Linked DNA regions of Notamacropus eugenii. The protein of the gene in region 1 binds, or shares a complex with, the protein of each later gene. Links are inferred from orthologs where the notes say so. Each region holds a gene or a part of one and is shown on either strand. Other genes may lie near its edges.

Region 1 (8,013 bases):
GACTTGAAGTCACGTATTTGTTTTTAGCACCCCATGTTCTCCTTCAAGGCCAGACTTAAGGCCTATTTCTTCTGTGAAGTCTTCCCAACTCCTAACCCTGACTGAGGCCCACCTAGAATTATCTTTCTTTTCAATTTCCATAGCACTAACTACATATTTCATTTGGCACTTAGACACTAGTGCCACCTTGTATCGTTTAGTTTTCTTTACAAATAAATATTTGTTATATATTTATATATTACATATTTGTTATATTTACAAATGTATATTTGTTACATGTTTGCAAATATTTGTCTACATGCATGTATACATAAGGGGATTAGCACATGTGTAGAGTGCCTTTGAAGATGTCTCCTCCTGTGAAAGAGACTAGGGGGCTGCCAGAACTGTGATAATGTATAACAGAAATGCTCTGGAGAGATGGTAGAGTGTGCAGAGACATTCTGTAGCTGGTTCAGGTCTGCCAATCTCGTGGTGTATAGGAGGCTCTTGGATGGGCAATGGGGGTCTCCTAGAAGGACAAGTAAGCAAAGGCTTGGCCATTTTCTCTAAAGATTCCATCGTGGTAGATCTCTTGGAATCCTTTGCTAATGGTATCTGATAATAGACAATGCAGTAAAGGGGAGAAGTTTTGGGCCCTCTCAAACAAGGTTGAAATGTGGTCCTGTGATGGGTCTTGGTTCTTGATCTCTGTTTTCTTTTTCATTCTAGTTGAATGGATTAGAGGCTCTGTCCTTGGTTTTCTAAAAGTCAGGAGAACAAGCATGTGGCCAGGCAAGCATCTGTATTTTGTGGCCACCTCAGCATTGATGCCCCAAGGAGTGACATTTGAGACTCAGATTGGGGACACCTCAGACAAGGACTCATCCAGAAATTACGCTGCCTTTGAATGTGAACTCAGTGGGACCAATGCTACATAGCAACTGAACTATGTTTGAACCTATCCTCCCTAATGACCAAGGTGGGATAAGGAGAGTATGTTCCCTTGAGGTATTGGGGGAATTGTTTGTATTTTTGTTATAGTCCCTTTGAAGGAAATACCCCTGTGTAAAAAAACTAATTAATATCAAGTGGTTAAATGGAACTGATTCCTAACAGTAGGGGTGACAACACAACTAGTGAAGGTTTGAGTCGATGACAGTAGAGAAGAAACACCCTCCAACCCCTCAAGAAACCCCTAGACCCGTGAAGGGTATGATGAAGCTGGTCTATTTCTAGAAATGAGCCAGTGTCATATACTCACACACACACACATGCACGCACACGCACACACACACACACACACAAAATACATGTAATGGGGGATGGCCAATAGAGCCCTAGTCCTTCCAGTATGTACAATCTGCTCGGCTTGGGGCCAACGTGCAAGGAGGCTTGGGGATGTCCATCTAAATCAGACCTACTCTTCCAATCCAAGTCAAGAAGCCCTTCTTTAGGAAGCCTTCTTGGATTGCGATAGCTCACAATGATTGAGCCCTCCCCACCCTGAGTTCTTATAGCATCTAAGAGTTTATAACACTCCTTCGGCACTTAATTACACTATTTTTTTTTTATCTTTATTTCTATTGTTTCTTCTCTCATCATCTGCATTTCTCCACTGTCTCTGCTCCCCCTCCTCTGACAGCCACACAACTATAGACAGTTATCTTTTCCTATGTACACGCCTTCCTCCTTTTCCCCTATTCAAACACTTCCCATCCTTCATGTCCCAGCTCAAATGCTCCCTCCTCTATAACACTGTGAAGTGAGCTCTTTCTCCCCTGAATTCTTCCTGGAAATGGTCTTTACCTTTCTTGTGGCATATTATGGTTCTTTGTAGATTGTTTTATCTCCTTCCCAGACTTCTGAGTCTAAGTGATCATTTCTTAGTTATCTTTGTAACTTTCAGATTGACTAGCACAATGCCTGACCCATAGAAGGCACTTAACAAATATTTGTCAAGTATTTATGTATTGTCTTATCTCCCTAATTAGGCTGAGGGTTGGGCCTCTGTCTTATTTCATCTTTATATCCCCAACCTAGCCCCGCACTCTTGCACCCATTAGACATCCTGTAAATGTTAAACCAATGAATGCCTTATCTCCCTAGCCAGAAAGACTGTAAACTTTGCCAGGGTAGAGACTGACTTCATTTTTTATATTCCTAATTTAGCAGTACAGGACCTTGGTGGAGGTAGGTTAAAGACAGAGACCAGAGCGCCCTATCACCTGATAACTCCAAAGCATCTGCCCGTTGAATGCAAGACAAAACGACAGGGTTGATCTTCCTCGTTCAGTCTTGGGAAGACACGGGAGTTGGCTTAATACCTATGTTTCCATTTTCTCTTCATCTTCACCACTAAACATCTATTTCTGGCTGAACAGTGGGCAAGGAGGACCCTCTTCTTCTTTGAGAGGTCGGGCTCCACAAGGAACATCTTGCCAGCTTCTCAGGGCGGGGGTGTAGCCAAGATCTCTCAGTTAATAGGGAGGGCTCTCGTTCTTTCTGTCAGCCCCCCCCCTGACTCATTCATTCATTCCCAGAGCCTGCCACACGAGGCACAGCAGGGGAGATACAGATGGATGAGACAGCTCCTCTCCTGCCCCTCCAGCTTCCACGTTAGCACAGGAGATAAAACAGACACATAAATCCAAGACACAGCAAAATAAAAGAAGCGCTCTCTGGAAAGCAGGAAGATGTTACCTGAGAGATCCCAGCCGGGAAATCATCCCACCTTTTTCCTTACGTCATCCTTCTCCAGGCGACCTGCTCCATGCCCTCTCCAACGCGCTTTGCCCCTTCCTGCCCGTCTGCAGAAGCCGGAGGGCACTGCCCACCCTCCGTGACCCGGCTGGAGGATGTTTTGGGTTGTTTCGCTGAACTTGTTCTTCGTCCTGGGGCAGGAGAATGGGAAGGGCCGAGTTTGGGATGGAGGCCGGGCAACAGCGGCCTCAGTACAAACGGGGCTGGACGCGGCCTTGCCCTGCCCGGGTTGGCCCCCAACCCTCCCGTGGCACGCCGAGGTGACCCCGGGGCTACAGCGGCGACACGACCCAGGTGGGAGGCAAGGGTTTTATCCGAGGGGTGCTAGGGGGAGGTGGGCACACGAATGCCCCGCAGCACGTACCGGGCCTAGCTCCCCGGGGCTCTGAACCCCCCCTCTAACCATGCCACCCCCCCACTGCCCAGGTTAAAATGGCAATCTTGCAGGAGCCTAGCGGGAATTGGGGATCCCACCATCTTCAGCGCCAGCCCCCCTCCCCGGCGAGGAGGGAACCTGCGTCCTCGAGGCCGCCTGGGGCCTTCTAGGTCCTCGCGTGCGGCGAGGACTGAGCCCCTCGTACAGAACAAATCCTTTCATTGGGGGGTTTGTTGTGTGAAGTTTGGGTTCGGTCAAAGGGCAGCACTCGAGGCCCTAGGGGCCCTCATGTGGGCCCGCGCCGCAGGTCTGCCCACTCCCCACTGGGCGGTAGGCACAAGGGGCTGGGCGCTTGGCAGGGGCTCGGTCAGTGTTGGTTAATAGGAGGCCACCCTTCTCACTTGACAGATGGGGAAACTGAGGCCCGGCTGCCATGCTGGCGGAAGCAGCGGAGGCCCCACGTCTTCCACCGAAAGACTTCAAAGTCTTCCCGCCCCCTCCTCTCCAAGGCCCAGTCCCTCAGGGGGCTTCTGCTCTAGGCCGCGCCCCTCGTCCCCGGAGCCCCCACAAAATGGCGCCCAACGGTTTCTCCGCCCGCCCGTTGCCCCGCCCCCACCCCAGCAGGTGGGAGGCATGGGCCTGTCACGTGACCAGCGAGCTTTCCCTTTCCTCCGCCTAGGCAGGCGGCCCTGCCTCGTCCCGTAATTTTCCCTTCCCCCCCTCCTTCTCTGCTTTGCCTTACTGGGGAAGGCAGTGGGCCAGTTCACGTGACCACCCCCATAGCTACCCCCGCCTGCCGGCGACATGTCACGTGAGTCATTACTCTCAGCCTCGCCCCTCCGGCACGCGAGAGGGCGGCAGCGGGCGCCCGTCACGTGATCGCCCCGCCCCAGGCGAAGTTCAAACTCCTCCTTTTCCCCGCCCAGGCTCCACCCCCACGAAACTCCGCCCACCCCCTGCTGCGCGCGGGAATCCGGGTAGAAACCGAATGTGAAGAGTGGGCGAGGCGTGCGTGCGTGCGGCCTAGGAGGCAGAGGCCGACGCCTGGAGGCGACGCACTCGCGCGCGCGCCGCGCAGCACGCTCGCCTTCACGTAGCGCGCGCCTGGCCCGGGCGGGCCGGGCCGGGGAGGGAGGGAGGGAGGGAGGGAGGGAGCGAGGGGGGGGGGGTGTGTGCGCGCGCAGCTTGGAGGGAGAGAGAGGCAGGCGGGCGAGCGCCAGGCACGAAGCGCGAGGCGGGCGCGCGAGCCCCCGGGGGCGGGTAAAACCCGGTTGCTGCTGCTGCTCCTGCCCCCGCCCCCGCCCCCTCCCCCCTTCCCTCTCCCCCGACTTCTCCCCCCCCAGACCTCCTCAGACCCGCCCCCTCCCCCCCAACCTTCTCAGGCTGGCCCCCCTCCCTCAGGAGGCCCTACCCCCGCACCTGCACCCCCAGGCCTTGCAATCAGCGCCCCGCCCCCGCCTGCCCCCTCGGAGCACCCCCTCCCAGCAAAAAGCCCTTCCTCCCCTCCAGCCCCCTCCCCGAAACAAGCATCCCCTCCCCCACCCTCGGAGCACCCCTGCGGCCCCCTGCCGAGCATCCCCTCCCCACAAATGCCCCTTTTCCGTACCCCACCCCCTCCATTTAACACCCCTTCCTAGCAAATGCCCACTTGTCTCTGCCCGCCATTTAGCAAATGTCCCCCCCGCCAGACCGCTCTGGTGTAGCAACCCCCCCTGGCACCTGTCGGGCCCCAGCGGGCCCTCGTAGCAGATGCTGCCCCCCGCAGGCCCTGCCCACTTACCCTCCCCCCTCGCTCTCCCTTGAATCCTCCCCGTTGGCGCACTCTCAAGCCAAGCATTCTCACCCAGTCCTCCCGCGTAGCAACCACTCTCAGGACCCCAGCCTCTCAGCAAAATCCCTTTCTTGCTCTGATCTCCACCCCTTGCAATCGCCCTCTTCCCCTACCTCAGATCCCTCATTTTGAGCAAAAATCTTTTCTCCTGGAGGTTCCCCTCCAGGAAATCCCCATCTTTCCACCTCAGTCACTCCCATTTAACCTTTCCTAGCAAATAACCCTTTTCCCCACCCAGGTCACCCTCCCTCCCCAAGCAAAAATTCCATCTCTAGTCCCAATTACAATTCTTCCTCAATTAAGTCTCTCCTTCTGCAAAACCCGCTTCTGCTTCTCTTACCCTTCCCAGTGACAAAGCCTCCAAAACCCCAGTTGACTATCCCCCCAGCTGCCCCTTCCTAATCTTGACCCTCCCCTCCCCTTCCTTCCGCCACCCACTTTCAGGACCAGAGGGAAAAGCTGTTGAGCAGGGCAAAGAAATTGAATTTGTGTCTGAAATTGGCACCCAGCACACTGGAGGAAAGCCCCTGATGGTCGGCTTGTCTGCTTTCTGAGCCCCCTCCCAAGGGTGCCTAAAACTGACCCCCCCCCAAGAGCCTTGGCTTGGCTCTTCTGGTGAGTATCCTTCCTCATAGGATCATAGACTTGGAGCTGGAAAGCCCCTTAGAGGTCATTTCATCCAACCACCTCATTTTACAGAGGAGGAAACTGAGGCCCAGAGAGGTTTTTGTGGCTTTTTGAAGGTCACACAGAGAGTAAGTAGGTGACAGAAACAGGGTGCCATCACCTATTGGGAGCCACCTTGTTAGTGAGGCACCTTTCTTTAGACCAATCTGCATTTACCGGGTATATCCCACCAACAAATGTGAGCCCCTTGGGGGTGAGGGTTGTTGTCATCTCTTCAGTGCCTAGCACGAGGTCTTGCACATCCAGTCCATAGTAAATGCTCCCTGCGTCATGCAGATAAGACACCACCCTGTCGCCCAATCCTCTTCTCAACCGACCTCTTTTCCTGCTGGAGAATTTTCCTTTCAGTAAATCTGAATGGAGACGGGAGACTCAGGGAGTCCCCCAACTAGTGGGGTGCAAAAAAACAGAGAACAGTAATAGATAGCAGGGTGAGGGTCCTACCGAATGGATGTGGACTCCTAAGTACTGTGGGGAAAAAAAAGTGGTTTCTGATGCTGGAAAAGCAGGGACAGGAAGCCTAGTATTTACACCTTGAATAGCAGTTGACATGTATATAAGCTTCAGGGTTTGCAAATCATTTTACATAATGTTCTCCACCAGTCCTCACCATCAACCCCTAGAAGGTAGGTGCTTCTATTCCAGTTCTATGGATGAGGAAACAGGTTAAATGAGGTGTCCAAGGCCTTCACCTAGAAACAGTGAAGCAGAATTTGAACTCAGTTCTTCTTGACTCCAAGTTCAGTGTGCTATCCACTCTACTGTTACCCCATCTCTCTGGTTTAATTTTGGGGCTGCTTATCACCCCCAAAGGGCTGATTTATTCTTTCAATTTTAAAGTGGAAGAAAGAGACCGAAAGAGACAGCTAGTAAGTGACAAGAGCAGAATTGGTGCCCGGGTTTTGTGACTCCCCCAGTACCATGATTTGTCAAACTAAAGTTTTTCTTGGACAGATAGGTTAGCGTAGGTTAGGGTGTAATTCCTGGGTTTGCTGAGAAGCATTTAGTATTCCCTCCCATACCTTGGATACAATATAGATATGGAAAGATACAGATGGTTACTTTTACTCCTGCCCCCATTTATTTTTCCCAAGTGACTCCAGCCTGTTGTTTGCTCTCTTGCAATCGCTAAAACTAAGATTTTTTTGTGACCGGTGAAAAGAAATCATTCATTTAGGCAACTATTGTGTAACCTTCCAGGATCATTATGAGTTGTGATTATGTAGCAGTCCTTTAGTGCCTGTCATGCATAGAACTGGGGAAGATGGGACACTGAGCAAAGATGTGGCCCTTTGCCTTCCTGCCTGTCTAGGAAGGGAGGACGAGACATACGCACCCAGAAAACCAGCATTCGCAGTCACTCTTGCTGAGTGTGTCCAAGGGGAAGAACAAAGGAGCAGTGTTCCTGAGGAGGACTCTGGGAAGGCTTCCTGGAGGAAGGGGCTGGGTAGGGCTTTGTCAGGCTGAGGGGCAGGGAAGGAAGAACATCCCAAGCATGTGGCACGATGTGTGGGGTCAGGCCCGCAGGGACAGATGGCATGTTAGTATGGGATGAGCTCCACAAGGTGGTGCTAGAGGAGGCGGCGTGAGTCTTACCAGTCAGTGAATGTCAGGGTTAAGCCACAAAACCTCTCTGAGGGGTTTGGGGGAAGGACAGGCTGGTGGAAATAGGGGTTTATTTACAGTTGAATTTGGACTTGGTAGTCGCGCCGATGTGTTCCACCCTACAAGGAGGAGTAGAAAGAGTTTGGGGTTTGGGGTCAAGGGAGCCCTGGGTTCAAACCCCATGCTTGATACTTCACTTGGAGGAGCCTTAGTTTCCTCATCTATAACATGGAGATGGCAGTACGCAGGCTCATTATGAGGATCAGAAGATAACAGGATGTAAAGCTACAGAACAAAATGCTACAAAAATGTCAACTCATGTAATCAACATAATGTTATCCTGTCCCCTGGATCTTGGGGTTTATCATCCAGTCTGGTCCCCTCATTTTACTGTTGAGGAGATTGGAAATCAGAGGGAGGATGTGATGGTGACTGCTAGGGGCTGAAGGGTACAGAGCACTGGACTGGGAGTCAGAAATCCCCAAGTTCAAATCCAGCTTCGGACACTTACTAGCTGGGTGACCCTGGACAAGGCACTGAGAATCTTTGCCTCAGTTTCCTCACCTGTAGTAAGGAGATTTTAGGGTTGTGAAGATCATATGGAATAATATTTGTAAAGCACTTTGCAAACATTCTGGCCCCAAATAAATGCTAGTGATGATGTTGGGGATGTAGCACTAGGTATTATGGAGCCTGGACCCTCCCACTCAGTGGCTTTTCCATTTCGCTACATTGCTTTCTCTCTCTTAAAACCACTGGAACAGCATTTAAG
Region 2 (7,967 bases), on another chromosome or scaffold:
TCACAAAGTCAAACTTCACCTACTTGCAGGCATAACTATTAACAATAACATGCATTTTAATTATTTCACTGCAGGAATATTAGTTCATGACATAGGTATTTAATAAATATTTGCTGAATTGAAAAACAAAAAAATATAATAACTACTTATCTACCTCTGGAGTATCTATATCTTGCACAGGTGAATCACCTCCATCATCATCACTGCCTTTCCTCTTTCTTCTGTTTCGAACACTCTGAATTAAGTTTTTGTGAAAGTCACAAATATAGAGGTGTCTTGCCTGGGGGGAAAACAGACATCATCAAAAAAAACCCAAGTCTCCAACAGAGCTCATTATTACATAATTAAACTAAAATCTAGATTCTAATCTGGAAGTACCATATGCTATAATGAATTATTAAGGATAAAGTTATAAGAAAAGTAACTTATAAGTTGGACGTCTTCATTTCTATCATATTCCTTTTCCCCCCAGAATCCTTCATGTGAAATCACCGCGATTCATCTGATACAAAGGAAAGAGCACTTTACCTTGTTGTGTTGTGACTAGTCTATTTCAGAAATGGTATGCTGCTGAAGAGAGACAATAGAAGTTTTTTCTAGGCCTTTATTTTCTGGCATCAAAATGCTATGGGAGGGCAATGAGTCTAGGGCTGTCTCTCTCAAATATAAGAAAGGCTCTTTTTACTGTAAAGCTCTTTTGAGTAGCACACTGCTTTCTCTAGAGAGGATCTTTTTAAGTACAACATGTTCTCTATTTTTCCCCTTCTTTCTTCCAAACACAACTTCCAACTTATAATCAGGGTATCATAAATACTTAGTAGATAGCAACTTTTTTAAAAAAGTTAACTACTAATTCCAGTTTCTTTATTCATAATTCAGATCCTAATAAACTGGATTATCACCGAGTCTACATTTCTGTTTCCAATGGAATCTACCCTCCCAATAGTTTCAAGATAACTTTCCATGACTCAAGAAAATGAAACTCGTAGAAACAAATACAAGTTAACTTTTAAACAAACTAATTTACTTATAACCTTTTCGATTGTAACACTATTTAAAACTGTATGTTGACATTAGAATCAAATTATTTCATATCACTTCCCGTCCTATACTTTAGGTTCCCAAACTGGACTGCTAGTTAGTCCTTGAGCTGGAAAAGCCTTCTTTGTGCACTGCTGGCCTGGCCTGTTCCTGTTTCAGTTCCTGGAATGCAGGCTCTTCTACCACTCAGCCAATCAAAATTCCTTCAAGGTTTAGCTCAGGTGCCTCCTCCGAGAAGCATTCCCAGATCCTTCAGCTACGAGTCTTTTTCTCCCTCCTCACATTCTCTTTCGGTACTTCAGAGATCTCCTTTGGCCCCAACACATTCTATCAACTTTTTATTATATTACTTTTAAAAATAAACCCAGTCAACGTAAGCTCCTCGAGGGGATGTCATCATTCATTTTTTCTTTCCCCAAGCCTCAAACGCACGGCGTCTTATTAAATACTAGTCAGTTACCAGATGTGAGTTGATTTCTTGCACTTTTTCAACAAATACACATAGTCTAAAGGGCGATCCTTTGTCTTACGTGAAGGACTTGCTCGACAGACCCTTACGAACGGATTTTTAAGCTCAGAGGAAGTTAAGATTCAGGAAAGAGCGTGCTTATTTTTAAGGAAGGAGGAGGCTTGTTTTTGGCTGGCCTTTGAAAGAGCTAACAGTTGTTTCACCTTCCTCCAGGCAGACAAACTAAACGGATCAAACCAGCTTCTAAAAACCTCGGACACGATCACGGGGGCAGCCCCGGAGGTCTGCCAACAAGAACGTGAAATGGCAAAGACCTACGAGCAACACACCCACGAGGCAATGCCCAGGTCCCTGTCCACCAGCCCCCACAGACAGTGGGAGGAGCTCAGGCTTCTCTCCGTGTCGTGTGTGTCGTGTGTGTATACACGAGTGTGTCCGGGGAAGAGAGTGGAGGCAGCCCCCCGCCCCGCTCCCCCACCGCCGACTCCATGGCTGTCCCGGACCAGGCGGGCGGCTTCAAACACAGCACCGAGGGACAACCACGAGCCGGGCCAATCTCCACGTCCCAGCTCGGGCAGCCTAACAAAGGAGCCTCCCTGCCAGGCTGGGCCACGGGGCGGCGAGGAAAACAACTCTTCCCCTGCTCGCTTCCCCCGCTTTGTTTCGCTTCCCAATCGTGCCCCAAAAGACGCCGAGGGGGAAGAAGGAAGGGAAGAGGAGGGGGAGAAGTGGGCGCAAAGGAAGACTGAGGGGTGACGGGGGGATGAGAGAAGTTAGGGGTGGGGGGAAGGGAGGAGGGGAAGGAGGAGGTGGGAAAAGTTCGTAGAGGTGGACGGGGTGGAAGGGCACGGGGGCCAAAGATAAAGGTGAATGGGGGAATGGGAGAAGGAGGTGAACGCGATGGAAGAAGACAGGAGAGGGTGGATGGGGAAAGAGGGGGCTCCCGATGCCGCCGCAGGAGTTGCGGTGACTTGGCTAACGCCGCTCCCGCAAGTCCGCCCGCAGGCGCCGGGGCCCCAGGGTCACTCACCGTCTTGTCCAGGTCGATCTTGACCTTCTTCTGGGAGATGCTCTTCTGGATCCTCTTGCTGAAGCTGGCGTTGCCGGCCGCCCGGCTGCACCTCTCCCCGTCCTCCCGCAGGCAGCACAGCTGCCCGGGGCCCGGGCCCGCCGCTCCAGGGGGACCCGCCGCAGCCGCCGCCGGCCCGGAGCCCGGCACCTCCGCCCCGCTCGCGGCCCCCGCCCCGGCCCCGGCGCCCGCCCCGGACGAGGCGGCGGCGGCGGCAGCGGCGGCAGCGGCGACCACCACGGCGGCCACGGCGGCGGCCGCGTCCCCTCCCCGGCTCACCTCGTCCGGGGGGAAGCCGTTCATGGTGGCCTCCCCTCCGAGGCGGCGGCGGCGGCCGGGGGAGCCCCCTTCTCGCCTCCGCTCACGCACCCCTCCGAGCCGCGGCGAACCCGGAGCCGGACCGGACGGCGGGAGAGCGAGGGGGAGGCAGCAGCCTGCGCTCCGGCCTCGGTCCCCGCTCCGCTCCCCGGCCCCCGAGGCACCTGCGCTGGGCGGACGGAGCGGTCCCGCTCCGGCCCGGGCCCCAGCGGCAACTCACTCCGCACTGGCCGACGACCACCCCGACAATCCTCTGCGCCCGGCCCGGCGTTTGCTCTTCGTCCCGGGCCGGCAGGCTCCGTGTCCCGGCTCGGGAAGGGGCGTCCGGCTCCAACCGCGCTCACTCTGTCATGTGGAGACTCTTCAGCTGTTAGGCTGCTCCCCCTTCCCTCCTCCGCCTCTCCACAGCCCGCGGCTAGTGCGCAGGCGCGACACTCCTCCGCTCCGCCGGCCCCTCCCTGCCTCTTCCTAACACAAACACTCTCCTCTCCAACCCCTCCCACCTCAGAGAATGAAGCATTATGGGCAATGTAGTCCGTTCCGGCTCTCTTTCCACCTCCCTCGACCCCATACTTTATTTCTTCTCGGCTTTGGCTCGCCCGGGCGGATGAAGAACTACTAAGACCGAAGTGCACTGCGCAGGTACATGCTGGCAGGCCTGGCTCTTTCTCAGCTCTCTCCTGGCTGCCTGGGAAAAGTGGAAGTGCAGGGTCGGCTTCTCCGGATTAGACTTTCCCACTTTGGGGTGATCGCTGGGAGGCAGGCTGCCCGAGGTGCCCCGCTGGGCACTCGCTTCGCTCCCCGTATGCCAAGTGTGTGCATTGGGAAAGGAGGCAGGGGGCGTGGAGAAGGTGGGGAAAGGGTCCCGGGGCCTCTCACGCACCGAGCTACCCTTGGCTCAGTGTAAAGCCCCGCAGACCGGAGCGCCCTTCCCGGGACCTCCTGCCGCTGAGTCCAGGTATCCTGCCCAGTGGACAGTGCCCCAAGTCTCTCCCCGGATCTCCAGCCCCCGCATTTCCAACGGCTTGTTGGGAGCTAGGGAAACGGGGACTCTTGCCCACAGCCAGGTGGGTTTCCTGGTGAGAGTCGCAACCCGAACCCGGCTGGGTTTCGCGCCCCCCTTCCCCATCCTCTCCCAGTCAGTTGACGAGGCGGGGGCGGGGGTAAGCTTTATATAACCTTTGCATTATCCGAGCACACTAAGCCTGCCAGTTTTGTCCACCTCTTTCCTTGGGCGGAGCTAACAACTTGTCCGGAAAACAAAGAGGCGGAGAGAGTCTTGGTTACCAAATCAAGAGAGGGCAGGGGGCGTGGACATGCACCAGCCCGTTTATCCTTTTAAAGGCTCCAGCTACACGAACGCGGCTCGGCAGAAAGTTTGAAAGTCTTTGTGACCGTCCTGTTTTCTTTGGCCTTGTCCCCCACCCTCCCCACCCCCACCTCGCTGCTCAGGCTTAAAGAGAGGGGGTCAGATGGAAGTTCCGTCTTTGCTGGCGTGCAGAACATGTTAATAACGGAGTGAGGATTGCCGGCTCCGTCTGGACTGGGCTGTAGGCCTTTTTCTCTTTGCCCACTCACTTCCTTGCCATCCTCAGACGAGCTGAACCAGTCACACACCCTGACTGCGAAGGGAGCGCTCAAATCTCTTCATTTTTGGTTAGATGCGTTCAGTTCTTTCCACCTCTAAAACTTTTCCTCAGAGGTGCGAGAGTCCGGGAGATCCAGCTGCTTGCTGGACATCCCGACCTGGGAGCACTGGAAACCCTAGCCTATATCGAACTTAAACCGAACGCCTCTTCCCCAGGAGGTTGGGTGGGTGGTTGATTGGTTTCAGGAGTTCTTCACCTGGGGCCAGGGACTCTTAAAAATTTTTCATAACTGTGCCTTTGTAATCCTATATATTTTAGCTTACACATGTTTTAAAAAAATTTGAGCATACGTAGGCTTCAACAGACAGACAGGGGTCCAAAACACAAAAAAAGGTAAGAATCTCTGGTAGTTGAATATCTTCCCCCAAACGTGTCTCTCTCCTTGTCTTCTCTATTTCTGTTGATGTCACCACCATCCCTCTCCCCCAATCCCATGAAATAACACTTTCCCTCTCCAGCACTTGTTATGTATCCTTTCTTGCTTTTGTTTGTGTGTGTCATATTCCCTCTTGTTTAGTCGTTTTCGTCTGTATTCTACTGTTCACGACCCCTCGAGATTTTCTTAGCAAAGATACTGAAGTGGTTTGCCATTTCCTTTTCCAGCTCATTTTACACATGAGGAAAATGAGACAAACAGGTTAAGTGACTTCTTCAGATCTGAATTCAGGTCTTCCTGACTTCTATCTCCGGTGCTGCCTAGCTGCCCTGTCATATTCCCTACTGAATTATGAGGCAGGGACCTTGTCTATCCTGTCTAATCCAAATCTCAACCATATTTCACTGGAGCTGGGTGAGTCCACAATGGACACTTAATAAATGTGTTTAAGTAAATCAAATCCTCACCCAACTCATGTCACTTTTCTAACTTCTCTATTTCTGTTGATGACACCAACATCTAGTCATCTGGGTAGTTGTCTGTGACACCCCTCTCCCTGACCCACGCTTAGCCCCTATCCAGTCAACCAGTAAGTCCAAATAATTCTGTCTTTTAAGTATCACTTTTATCTTCACACACATTCCTCACCAGCCTTTTCACTCCCCCTACAATCATCTTGTTTTAGGTCCTATATCTTCTCTCTTCCACTACTATACCAAGAAAGCTACATTTCTTGCCTCCAGCCTATTTCCTCCTCCACATGTCTTCTATATTTTACTGCTCTTACCCTCTATCTGCCTCAGTTTCCAAAACTATAAGATGGAGATAATAATAGCACCTATCTTGCAGTGTTGTTTTGAGGCTGTAATGAGATATTTGTAAAGCACTTAGCACCATGCCTGAAACATTGTAAGTGCTTAATAAATGTGTATTTACCTAATCCCATTTTGATTTTTTTTTCCTGCTTGATTTCTCTATATAGAAAGTTTTTTCTCCCGTACGGCATGAAGATTATGAGTATTTGTTATTGCAGCAACTATTATGAACATCATTCTTAAGTTAAAAAAAAACTGCATGACTGCTCTATAAATATTAAAAAATCTTTGATGCCTTTTCATTGCGTATTGAATAAAATATAAAAAATACTTCTCCTAGTATTCAAGAACCTCCACAATCTAGTGTCAGCATACCTTTCTAGCTTCTTCTTCAACCATTCCCCTCACATAGTGAATATTCCAACTAAACATGACATATGGAAATTGGTTGAAGAAACTGGGGATGTTTAGCTTGGAGAAGAGAAGACTTGGAGGGTAGCTGTCCAGTGTCGGAAGGGATAGCATGTGGAAGAGAGGTAGTATTGGGATCCTTGGTCCCAGAGGGCAGAAAAGAACAATGCAGTAGTTAAAGTCCTTGGTGTGAAGTTTCCAGTGAGTATCTCTGTGCCTAGCACATAGTAGGTACTTAAGAAATGATTACCGGTTGACTGACTGGAGTCAGAAGACAGGAGTAGAAGTGATGACCATTTGTTAAATGCCAACTATGTTCCAGGCACTTTGCTAAGCACTTTATACATATCTTACTTGATCCTCACAACATCCCAGGGAAATAGGTATTTTGTATTTGAGAAAACTGAGGCAGACAGATTATATGGTTACATGAGTTGCCAGAGTTATAACTAGTAAGTGTATGAGGTCAGATTTGAACTCAGGTAAATCTTCCTGATTGCTCCATGTCCAGCACTCTCTCCATGGTACCACCTAGCTGATAGTGTTCATGCATAGAACACATATGGTCAAGGTAAGCATGTAGAAGGATGCATGTAACCAACACATGTAGTGAAGACACATACTTGGAAGGTCACTAATACTCTGATGCCGCACAGTTTCCATTTCCTTTTGGAGATGTCAGTTCAACCTGCCCTTTACCTGGTCTGCTCTCTGCTTTATATGCTTAACATGGTTCCTGCTAGTCTTTGCCAGGTACAGCCCCACTGAGCCTGAGATTATGGAGATTCTCTTTACTAACAGCTTTTGGCTTAATTGGGAATGCTTATCTCTTCTTCAAGAGAGGAGCAAAACTCTTTCTCCCAAGAAGAGCGCCTTTAGCCATTGCTCCTTTAGCTTAAAGCGCAGAGGCTTCTCTGCCATAGATCTTTAGAATAGGCATAAACCCTAAAATATCCACTCACTGATGAGTAAAAAGTCCTTTTGGTCTGCTTGTTTCTCAGAAGCAAGAATGAATATTTCCTTTCCTAAAGGAGATTCCTCACTCCAAACATCAAGCATTGTAAAACACAGATAACAACATAGTAATAACTAGAATTAGAACTTACATAGTTTTTACTGTGTGCACTTTGTTAAGTGCTATACAAATATTATTTCATTTGATGCTCACAACAACCCATGAGAAAGATGCTATTATGGTCCAAATTTCACAGAGGAAAAAACTAACTTTAAAGAAGTTAAGTGACTTGCCCAAGACTATATAGCTAGTAAATATCTAATTTGAACTCAGTTCTTTCTGACTTCAGGTCCAGTAGTTTACCCACTGTACCACCTAAAATGCCAACTTCATTGACCAATGCCCCCAAGTTTAATTCATTTTTTTCTTCTCTCTTTCCTGATTACCAAAGACTACGTCTCTCTCAGAGGCCTCACTCTGACTTAGGGTCAGAATGTCCATGCACTTCCTAGTCAGCTATTTTTCCAATAAACTGCGAACTGTTATCCATATTTGTAAGATTCCAATTCTCAAATACAAAACTACTTTGTAGCAAAGTCCACATTGCAATGGATCAGCTTCCCTAGTAGAAATTCTATGTCCTTCAAGGAATCATTCCAATTGAGAACCAGTTACTTGTCTGTCATCAAAGGTGTTCCCTGCTGTGAACTCCTCAGGACTCTGGAGAAAGAGAACTTCAAGATCTGTTATACTACCTACAAATATGCTTCACTGCCATTATGTTTTTAAGTTTATTACTGTTCTCTTACTCTACTCCCTGGACTCTATGTACATTTGTGAGAAAAAATGTACACTGTGTTTGGA
Region 3 (8,052 bases), on another chromosome or scaffold:
ATTTCCCAACAGCTATCAAAAATGAAGATAGTTATCTTGAAGGGAGGGGGTTCTTCTTTGATGGAGATCTTAAGCAAAAGTTATGGAGTAAATGCTCTCTCAGAGACAGACTGGACAAGGAAGGCTGAGTACCCAGTTCCCCTCAATTCTGAGATTTAGTAACCTCTAAAAATCTGAGACTTTAATGCTAAGTCCTACATCATACGAGAGGTGTACAACAGCAATGGAATTCATTACCACAAAAAGCCTTGCAGGTAGACAGAAGAAATAAAGGGCTTATACAAGTGAATCAATGACAGAGCCATAAATAGCTGTGGGGTATACTTCAAAGAATCTAAGAGTTGAAAGGGATCTCTGATTGCATCTAATATAAACTGTTCCTCAAAAAGAATCTTCACTATGACAGACCAAGTGGTTGCCCAAGACTCCTCCTGAAGATGTCCAGTGACACAGATCTCACTACCTATTTTCTAGGGGAGTCCATTTCACTGCTGGATAGCTCTAATTATTATGAACTTTTTCTTTATACTTAGCCCAAATCTGCTTTTGCAGTTTCTACCTGATCTAAGTTCTGCCATCTAGGGCTAATCAGCACATCTAATTCCTCCTCTAATTCCTCTTAAATTCAGTTCTTTCAATGATCCCAGATAGTTACCTATCTATCCATCCCTCCCTCCATCTGTGAAGCTACTTCAGAAAATTTCCCTTCTTCAAGCTAAAAATCTGTAGGCTCTTCAAACTATCTTTTATGGCAGAGTTCTCAAGCCCTTTGGAGAAGGAAATGGCAAAGTACTCCTGTATCTCTGCCCAAAACAACCCCAAATGGAGTCACAGAGAGTTAGGCATGACTGAAATGAACAACAATAATTACTCCAGGCCTTTTACCACACTGATTGTCCTCATTTGGATGTGTTCCAATTTGTTGATATCTTTCCTTAAATGGGACTCACCTAGATCTGAATCGGGCATGGGACATCACCTTTATTTCTGCTATCCTTTAAGGTTGAAATCGGAGAAGACAACCAAACCTTCCCATGGGACATTCCTGAGGGCTATCAGCAACAGAATAGTAGGACAGATGGACTGCAAGTCTGACCCAGTGTGAGAATATTTATATCCTCACCAGATGTTTTCTGATGATTATTTACTGGAAATGTTGGTTGAGAAGATTTTCTGACATATATGAGTTGGATTAGGTGGATTTTAGGGTCCCAGGAGGACTCAGATTCTGATGTAGAAGATTAGATCCAAGCAAACAGGGTGCGTCTGTTAGTATTTCCCTGCCCATTTTTCCTCCAACATCACTTACCTTCATGTACTTGTTGAAGACTGTCTGAATTTCCTCATTGATGCTAGGTTGTAGGACAGCTCGAAGTAGGTCCATAGAGATGGCAGGGTCTGTGAAGCTGCATTTCAAAAAGGGGAAAAATGTCACACTAGTTACAAATGCTTTATTCATCTTTGTCCTGCCAGGGGCAATGACTCTTGTCATAGCTTGTCTTATATTAAATAATCCTTAAATAAATACCTGACCTTAAAGATGAAGGACTTCTAACATGGTCAATCAAAAAATCAATCAATAAACATTTAGAGTTCCTATTACATTTACAGTATTATAAATTTAAGAGACAGTCCTTGCTCTGAAAGAGATTATAATCTAGTTTGGGAGATATAAAATAGGCATAGCCTAGGGTTTATATCTAACTATCAACTCTGGGATCTGTCTTGGGAGGGAGCTGATCCTGGAATATAAATAAACTAGGCTTTACAGACTACAGACTTTTGGCTCTGATTTCTTCCAGACCCAAATACACACGTGAAGTTCTGAAGACTGGTCAATGATCACCACAAATGCTTGGCAGAATCTAGAAGATTTATGTTAAGGTGAAGGATTTTGACGCGGGGAAGATCATGATCGACTTGTTTAATTCACTAGCTGGCCATTAACTAACCCCTGATGATCTTACAATCTTCCATTTTTTGGGAACATTGTGGGGAAAAAACATGTTAAGAGTAGAAAATGCCCTTAGAACCCATCTAAGTCATCTCATGCTCCTAGAATCATCCTTAATTTACAGAGGGAGAAATAGAAGTCTAGGTAAGGTCTAGGTCTGACTTGCCTAATGTCAGAGGTCTAGAACTGGAATGTACCCAAGAAACTAACTGGTCCAAATACTTATACTTTCATCTTGCAGAGAAAAAACTGAGGTCCAGAGAAGACAAACTTTTGGAAATCACCTAGAGAAAAAAACCCTCTCATTTTACATCTTTATAAACGGAGGCACTTTGTTTTCTAGATCTTCTCATTCTACATCAGTGCCCTTTCTTTCACGGCACACAGGGAGCTGGGTCCGCCCTCCTGACCTTCTTCAGTGGTCCATTTCCAGCCTCCAACAAGGAAGACTCCCCGTTTCCTCCCTCCCCCGCCCCCCCAGCAGTGAGGGCTCCGGGGCAGCTGGTGCTGGTGCCACCGCAGCGTCCCCGGGTCCAGCGGGCTCACCTCGTAGTCATCTGGGAGCGGCGGCCCCTGCGCTGCACCTGCCGGTGTTTGATCATGATGTTCCAGGGGTTCTGCGGGAACCAAGGCGCTGGTGAGCCCCCTGCGCCCCCGATCTCGGACGACGGAGGAGGGGTTGGGGCTGGGCAAGGGGCCCTTCTCAGGCCTAGCCCCCCGCTCCAGCCCAGCTCCCTGCCCCGACAGGCCTCGACCCGGCCCGACCCGAGGGGCCCGTGCCCACCTTCCCCGAAGCCCCTCTCTCACCGTGACCACCAGTTGCCCCGCCGAGCCCTCGTCTCCAGGCTCGGGCCCGCCCCGCTCCGCTCCACTGGGGCCTCGCGGCTGCTCTGAATCCCGAGTGGCCCCCATGCTCCCTCCCTCCTGCACCCGGCCAGGCCGCCGCCGCCACCCCAGCCGCTGTCGCCGCTGCAGCCGGGGGTCCGGCCCAGCCCCTTAGCCACCGGCCGGAAACGAGCCCGTCACACGTCATTGCGCCGCGCCGCCCCGCCCCCCGGAAGAGCGACGCGGCAGGCGGCGAGGTTGCCATGGGAACCGAGCGGCGCGTGCGTCCGGGAGCTGGAGAAAAGGGGAAGAGGGAGAGCAGAGGCTGTTGGGGTCCAGGGCGGCTTAGGGTGGGCGTCGGCCGGGGCTTCTGCGGAGGGTGTGGCTGATGGGACCCCCCCACCCCCACCCCCGAGCCTGCGGGTTTAACTACGAGGGGGGGGGGGGGCCGGGCGGTTGGTAGTTTGAAAACTGAGTTTCCCTAAATGCCCCTGCGCCCGCGGCCGCGGAGAGAAGCGTCCCTGCAGGATCTTGGGCGAGTCTCCTTCCTTCTCTGGTCCTCTTCGTCCTCGTCTGTAAAATGAACCTGGCTAGTTGGGGTGGGTTTTAAGATTCCTTCCGTCTCTGATATTCTTGAGTTCCTGGGGTCCAGGACTTGGGAGGCAGGACACCTGGGTTCTAGGCTGACCTCCACCCACTGTGGGCACGTCCTCTCCCTTGTCTGCCCGTCTCGGTTAGAGTCGCTGTCCATGAGGTGGGATCTCGGAAATGCCTTCCAGCACCGAGGGTCTAAGGTAAATCAGCCTTGGGGCTGAACACCTCGACCTCTTATCGGAGTGATTCACCCTTAGTAGGAGCTGAAGCCTGAAGAGTAAGTCACGCCTTTTGGGCGGGAAGGAGAATCCCTCTGGCCTAGATACCAGTGATTTGGGGGCCTGGCTGGGAATGTGGACCGGACCAGCCCTTAAATACCCAAGTGAGGCATTTCAAGAGCTTGAAGACAAATCCTACAGACTCATGGATGGGTTTACAGCACAGAAAAGATTTCACTTTTCACAGAAGGTATGGCACTTTCAGGAATTGCCTCTAAAGCCAACACTGGTTTTTGCTGTTGCAGGAGAAAGATTCCTTCAGGCCTTGGATTTTACGGTAGTTTTCACTTGAAGTTCTGAGTTCCCTTCTTCTGTTAGGATTCTTTCAACAACCTAGTAAGCCCTGAATGCCACCGGCAAGGCTGCAGAATGACTATGGGTGTCAGGGGTGATCAGGCAAGCACCTGACTTGAGATCCAGTTTGTATCCTGGCCTTGGCTTTGCCATTAGCATCTAGGTATATGTCTCTCAGGGTTTTAGTTTTCTTCTTAGTAAAATGAGGAATTTGGACTAGGTAATCTCTGAAGTCCCTTCTAGTATTGCTATTTTATGGCTTACGTTCTAAGATTCCTTATGGTTCTGAAATTTTATGGTTCTTGCAGTGACTGACTAAACTAAGGCATGGGCAGGATAGAGAGGAAGTAAGAAAGGAGAAAAAAGGGGAAACAAAGAGGGAGATGTTACAGAGTGCTACTAGCAGTTATTGGCACCCATAGTATTGATGTGGTTTGGGGTAGCTGGGAACCCTTAAATGTCAGGGTACAGAGTGAGTCTGCCTGGAAAGAATTCAAGCACTCAAGCCTTTTTTCAGTCAGAGGAGCAAGGTTTATCCTAACACCAATAGAGAGTTAACACCCATAGAGTACACTAGATTCTTAAAGAATCTGCAGCTTGATAGGGGGTGAGATTGATACTTAAATATAAAAAAAGACCAAAGATTCTGATGGGATTAAGGTATGGCCTGGGGTGGGCCAGGGACAACAGTGAAATGGTCTAGATGAGATTAAGGAGGAGTAAATAGCCTGAGATGGCGGCAGTGAACTGAATTAAGTGGTCTGGGGTGGGTCACAGAGCCACAGTGAAAGGACTATTGAGATCTAGGTGGGCAGGACTGGGCCAGATGCCTCTGGCAAGATGCCAGGGGCTGGGTTGTGTGGGAAAATTCAGGGTCTAGGTCCCATCACACCATCAGTATTGTTTGTTTTTAGTCAGTTTTTACTCTTCAGTGACCCCTTTTGGGGTTTTCTTGGCAGAGATACTAGAATGTTTTGCCTACTCCTTCTTTAAGCACATTTTACAGATGAGGAAACTGAACCAACCAGGGTTAAGTGACTTGCCCAAGGTCACACAGCTAGTAAGTGTCTGAGGTAAAATTTGAACTCAGGTCTTCCTGACTCCAGTGTTCTGCACACTGGACCACTTAACTACCCCTACTCATAGTGTGGATCCACCAATTTCTTCATTTGTTCATTTGTGGTTGAGCTTAGAGAGATAAAGACGATGCTTGTCATTTTTTAGCCATTGACTGTGGACAACATTAATGCTTTCTATAGCTTTTTAGGAGCCTCCAAATTGTAACTTTGCTCTTTGTTTTTAGGGTTCTCAAGTTGACTAAATCCTGATGTATTTGATTTGCTTTTGGATGCAACTTCATTAGAGTGGGTCTCTGCATCTTTCTAACTATTTCTTTTTTAGTATCTTTGCTTCCTTCTCTGGACAGAATGAGAAGCTTGAAGGGGTGCTAGGTTTAGGACACAATGAGTTTGCTTTAGCCACAGCCCCATTGCTAGAGTGTACTGTTTCTTTAAACAGACTTGTAGGCTTGCTTCTCTTTGACTCTTTCTTCAGTCATCCATAGCGCCCTCACCAGCTGTCCATTGTAACACTTGGAAAATGTGTTAGGCTTTGAGGCTGAACATACTGTTACCTGTTATTCTCCCCACGTCTGTTCTTTGTAAATACAGTTTCCTATCAGGTCAGAAACCAATCCATTTTTTTTTTTTCCAATCAGGAAATTTCCCTGGCAGTGCATTGTATAAAGAAGGTTCTGGGGCTGAGTTCTGGGAAGTTCCTAGGTTCTGGCCTCTCCCTGAGCTGTTTTTTTGGGGAAACTTTAAAGCTGTGGTCCATGCTGCGCCCCCACCCTTATCCTCAGGCAGCCTCTGCCCCATCATGGTGCTTTTCATCTTTGGTACTGCGGTGTACCAAGTAATTGGGGGTGAGTGCTCAAGCACTTTGTTGCCTCCTTTTGACTACGACCAGTTTTCATCCTCTTAATTTTTTTTTTTAAGTATTGGTTTTCTTTCCCATCTCCTGCTCTCTTATCTCTCAGTCGAACAATTTAAAAAAAAGAAAACAAAAACGCCCCCAAAATATGCATAGTTCAGCAAAACAAATTCTCACGTTGTCCAAGTCCAAAAATGTACGTCTCTTTTTGCATTTTAAGTCCATTTTCTCTCTGGTGGGAGGTGGGGCCATGTTTTATCTTCAGTCTTTTGAACTTTTGCCTTAACATTGCGTTGCTCAGAGTTTTAAAGTCTTTCCAAATCCTTTTTTAAAAAATGTTGTATAAATTGTTCTAGTTCTGCCTACCTCACTCATCAATTTATAGAGACCTCAGTTATTTCCGAAGCTGTCCATTTTGTCATTTTTGTGGCACAATAAATATTAATTTTCTTCATATACCTTAATTTGTTAAGCCACTCTCCAATAAGTGGATACCCACTTAGACCCTAATTTTGGAATATTATCAAAGAGCTTCTATAAATATTTTTATACATGTAAATCCTTTTCCTCTGTCTTTTTTATTTTTTTTTAAATTTTTTTTTCAGAATAGACCTAGTAATCCATGGCTGGGTTATAGGGTTTAACAGTTTAGTGTCTTTTTTTGTGCATGCTTTCAAATTGATTTCTAAAATAGCTGAACCAATTCACAGATTCCCCAAGAGCTCATTAGTGTGCCTATTTTCCCAGAGCCCTTTGAACATTTGTCATTTTCTTTTTTTAATCATCTTTGCCAATCTGCTGAGTCTGAGGTGGACCCTCTTGAGTTGCTTGAATTTGCATTTCTTTAATCTTTAGTGACTTGGAGAATTTTTTTCATATGGTTATTGATAGATTGGATTTCTTCCATGGAAAACTGCTTTGTTCCTATTTTTTTGGCTATTTATTGAAAAATGGCTCTAGTCTCATAATTTTGAAGTAGTTCCTTCTGTATTTTGGATAGGGCACAACACAAATATACTGAAAAGATTTTTCCCCCCAGTTACCTATTTCTCTTCTTATTTCATCTTTTTATACAAAACCTATAAAATGTTACATAATGAAAATTATTCATTTTTTCTTGTGACCTTCCCTCTTTGTTTGATCATGAACTCTTCTCTCCATATATTTGAAAGATAATTTCTTCTTTGCTCTTTTAATATGTTTGAAATATTCCCTTTTATGTATGTCATGTACCCATTCAGAATTTATCTTGGTCTATACCTAATTTCTGCCAAACTGCTTTCCAGTTTTTGCATCAATTTTTGTTAGATATTGAGATTTTTATCCCAATAACTGTGGGAAACAAGGAAGTTCTGTTTCCACAGTTTGGGGTGATCAGGGTTGTGACCTAGCATGGTCAGGTAGAGGTCAGAAACTTGTGCACAGGCTTGATGAGCTGTTTGAGGGAAAGCCTAGCAGAGAAGAGAACATGAAGTCAAGTGGCAAGGGACAGGTGGTGATAGGTCCAAAAATTCGGAACAGTATAAGAAGCTTCCATTGATCTGAACAAGTTGAATTCTTCCTATAGCCTTACTGGGAAGCTATCCGTTCGTAATGAACATAGAAGGCACTCCCTCCTCTGAACTCTATTTTAATAAATTTTTCTTGATACCTTTTTGTGTGTCAAGTGCATCTCTAATAGTAACTAATGTCTTCGAGTTTATCAAATACTGTGCCCTTTTATTTTTTTGCTTCTCTGTGTTATATATCTAATCTATTCCGCCGATCTACCTCTGTGTTTTTTAACCACTACCAAATCATTTAAATGATTGCTACCTTATGGTGTAGTATGAGATCAGGTATTGATAGGCCCCCTTTCCTCCCACTTTTTTTCATTATTTCCCTTGAGATTCTTATTTGTATCCTAGAAAGAGATTGGAAATATCCCTTTCCCTATCACTGCATTTAGTTTATGCTATGTTGGAATTAATAGTTTTTTTGAATACTATTCATTGTAAATCCATCTGGTCTTGGATTCTTTTTCTTTGATATTTCATTTTTGGCTTGTTAATTTCCCATCTTTTTCCTCATTGTACATTTTCTTAATTATTTTTTTTGTGCTGTTTACTTCATGCAAGTTATAATTGTTGACATGCTATGGGTTGCTAATATTCATCATACGTCTTTCTTTTTGTC

Evidence for each region. Proteins that work in one complex are often made in the same cells at the same time.
Region 2: ZNF541 (region 1) and SAP30 share a complex: the UniProt entries of both Homo sapiens proteins name them as parts of the histone deacetylase complex. The link is inferred for Notamacropus eugenii from reciprocal best matches to the Homo sapiens genes ZNF541 and SAP30.
Region 3: ZNF541 (region 1) and DNTTIP1 share a complex: the UniProt entries of both Homo sapiens proteins name them as parts of the histone deacetylase complex. The link is inferred for Notamacropus eugenii from reciprocal best matches to the Homo sapiens genes ZNF541 and DNTTIP1.

The regions. Positions count from the first base shown.
Region 1 is NC_092876.1:29,482,816-29,490,828, reverse strand, and holds the start of ZNF541 (zinc finger protein 541), read left to right. Parts: upstream 1-4,979; 5' UTR 4,980-5,564; intron 5,565-8,013. UniProt on the Homo sapiens protein: Transcription regulator which is essential for male fertility and for the completion of meiotic prophase in spermatocytes.
Region 2 is NC_092878.1:87,835,559-87,843,525, reverse strand, and holds the start of SAP30 (histone deacetylase complex subunit SAP30), read right to left. Parts: upstream 3,011-7,967; 5' UTR 2,883-3,010; coding exon 2,541-2,882; intron 281-2,540; coding exon 155-280; intron 1-154. UniProt on the Homo sapiens protein: Involved in the functional recruitment of the Sin3-histone deacetylase complex (HDAC) to a specific subset of N-CoR corepressor complexes. Capable of transcription repression by N-CoR.
Region 3 is NC_092872.1:475,368,747-475,376,798, reverse strand, and holds the start of DNTTIP1 (deoxynucleotidyltransferase terminal-interacting protein 1), read right to left. Parts: upstream 3,011-8,052; 5' UTR 2,867-3,010; coding exon 2,762-2,866; intron 2,572-2,761; coding exon 2,501-2,571; intron 1,407-2,500; coding exon 1,310-1,406; intron 1-1,309. UniProt on the Homo sapiens protein: Increases DNTT terminal deoxynucleotidyltransferase activity (in vitro). Also acts as a transcriptional regulator, binding to the consensus sequence 5'-GNTGCATG-3' following an AT-tract.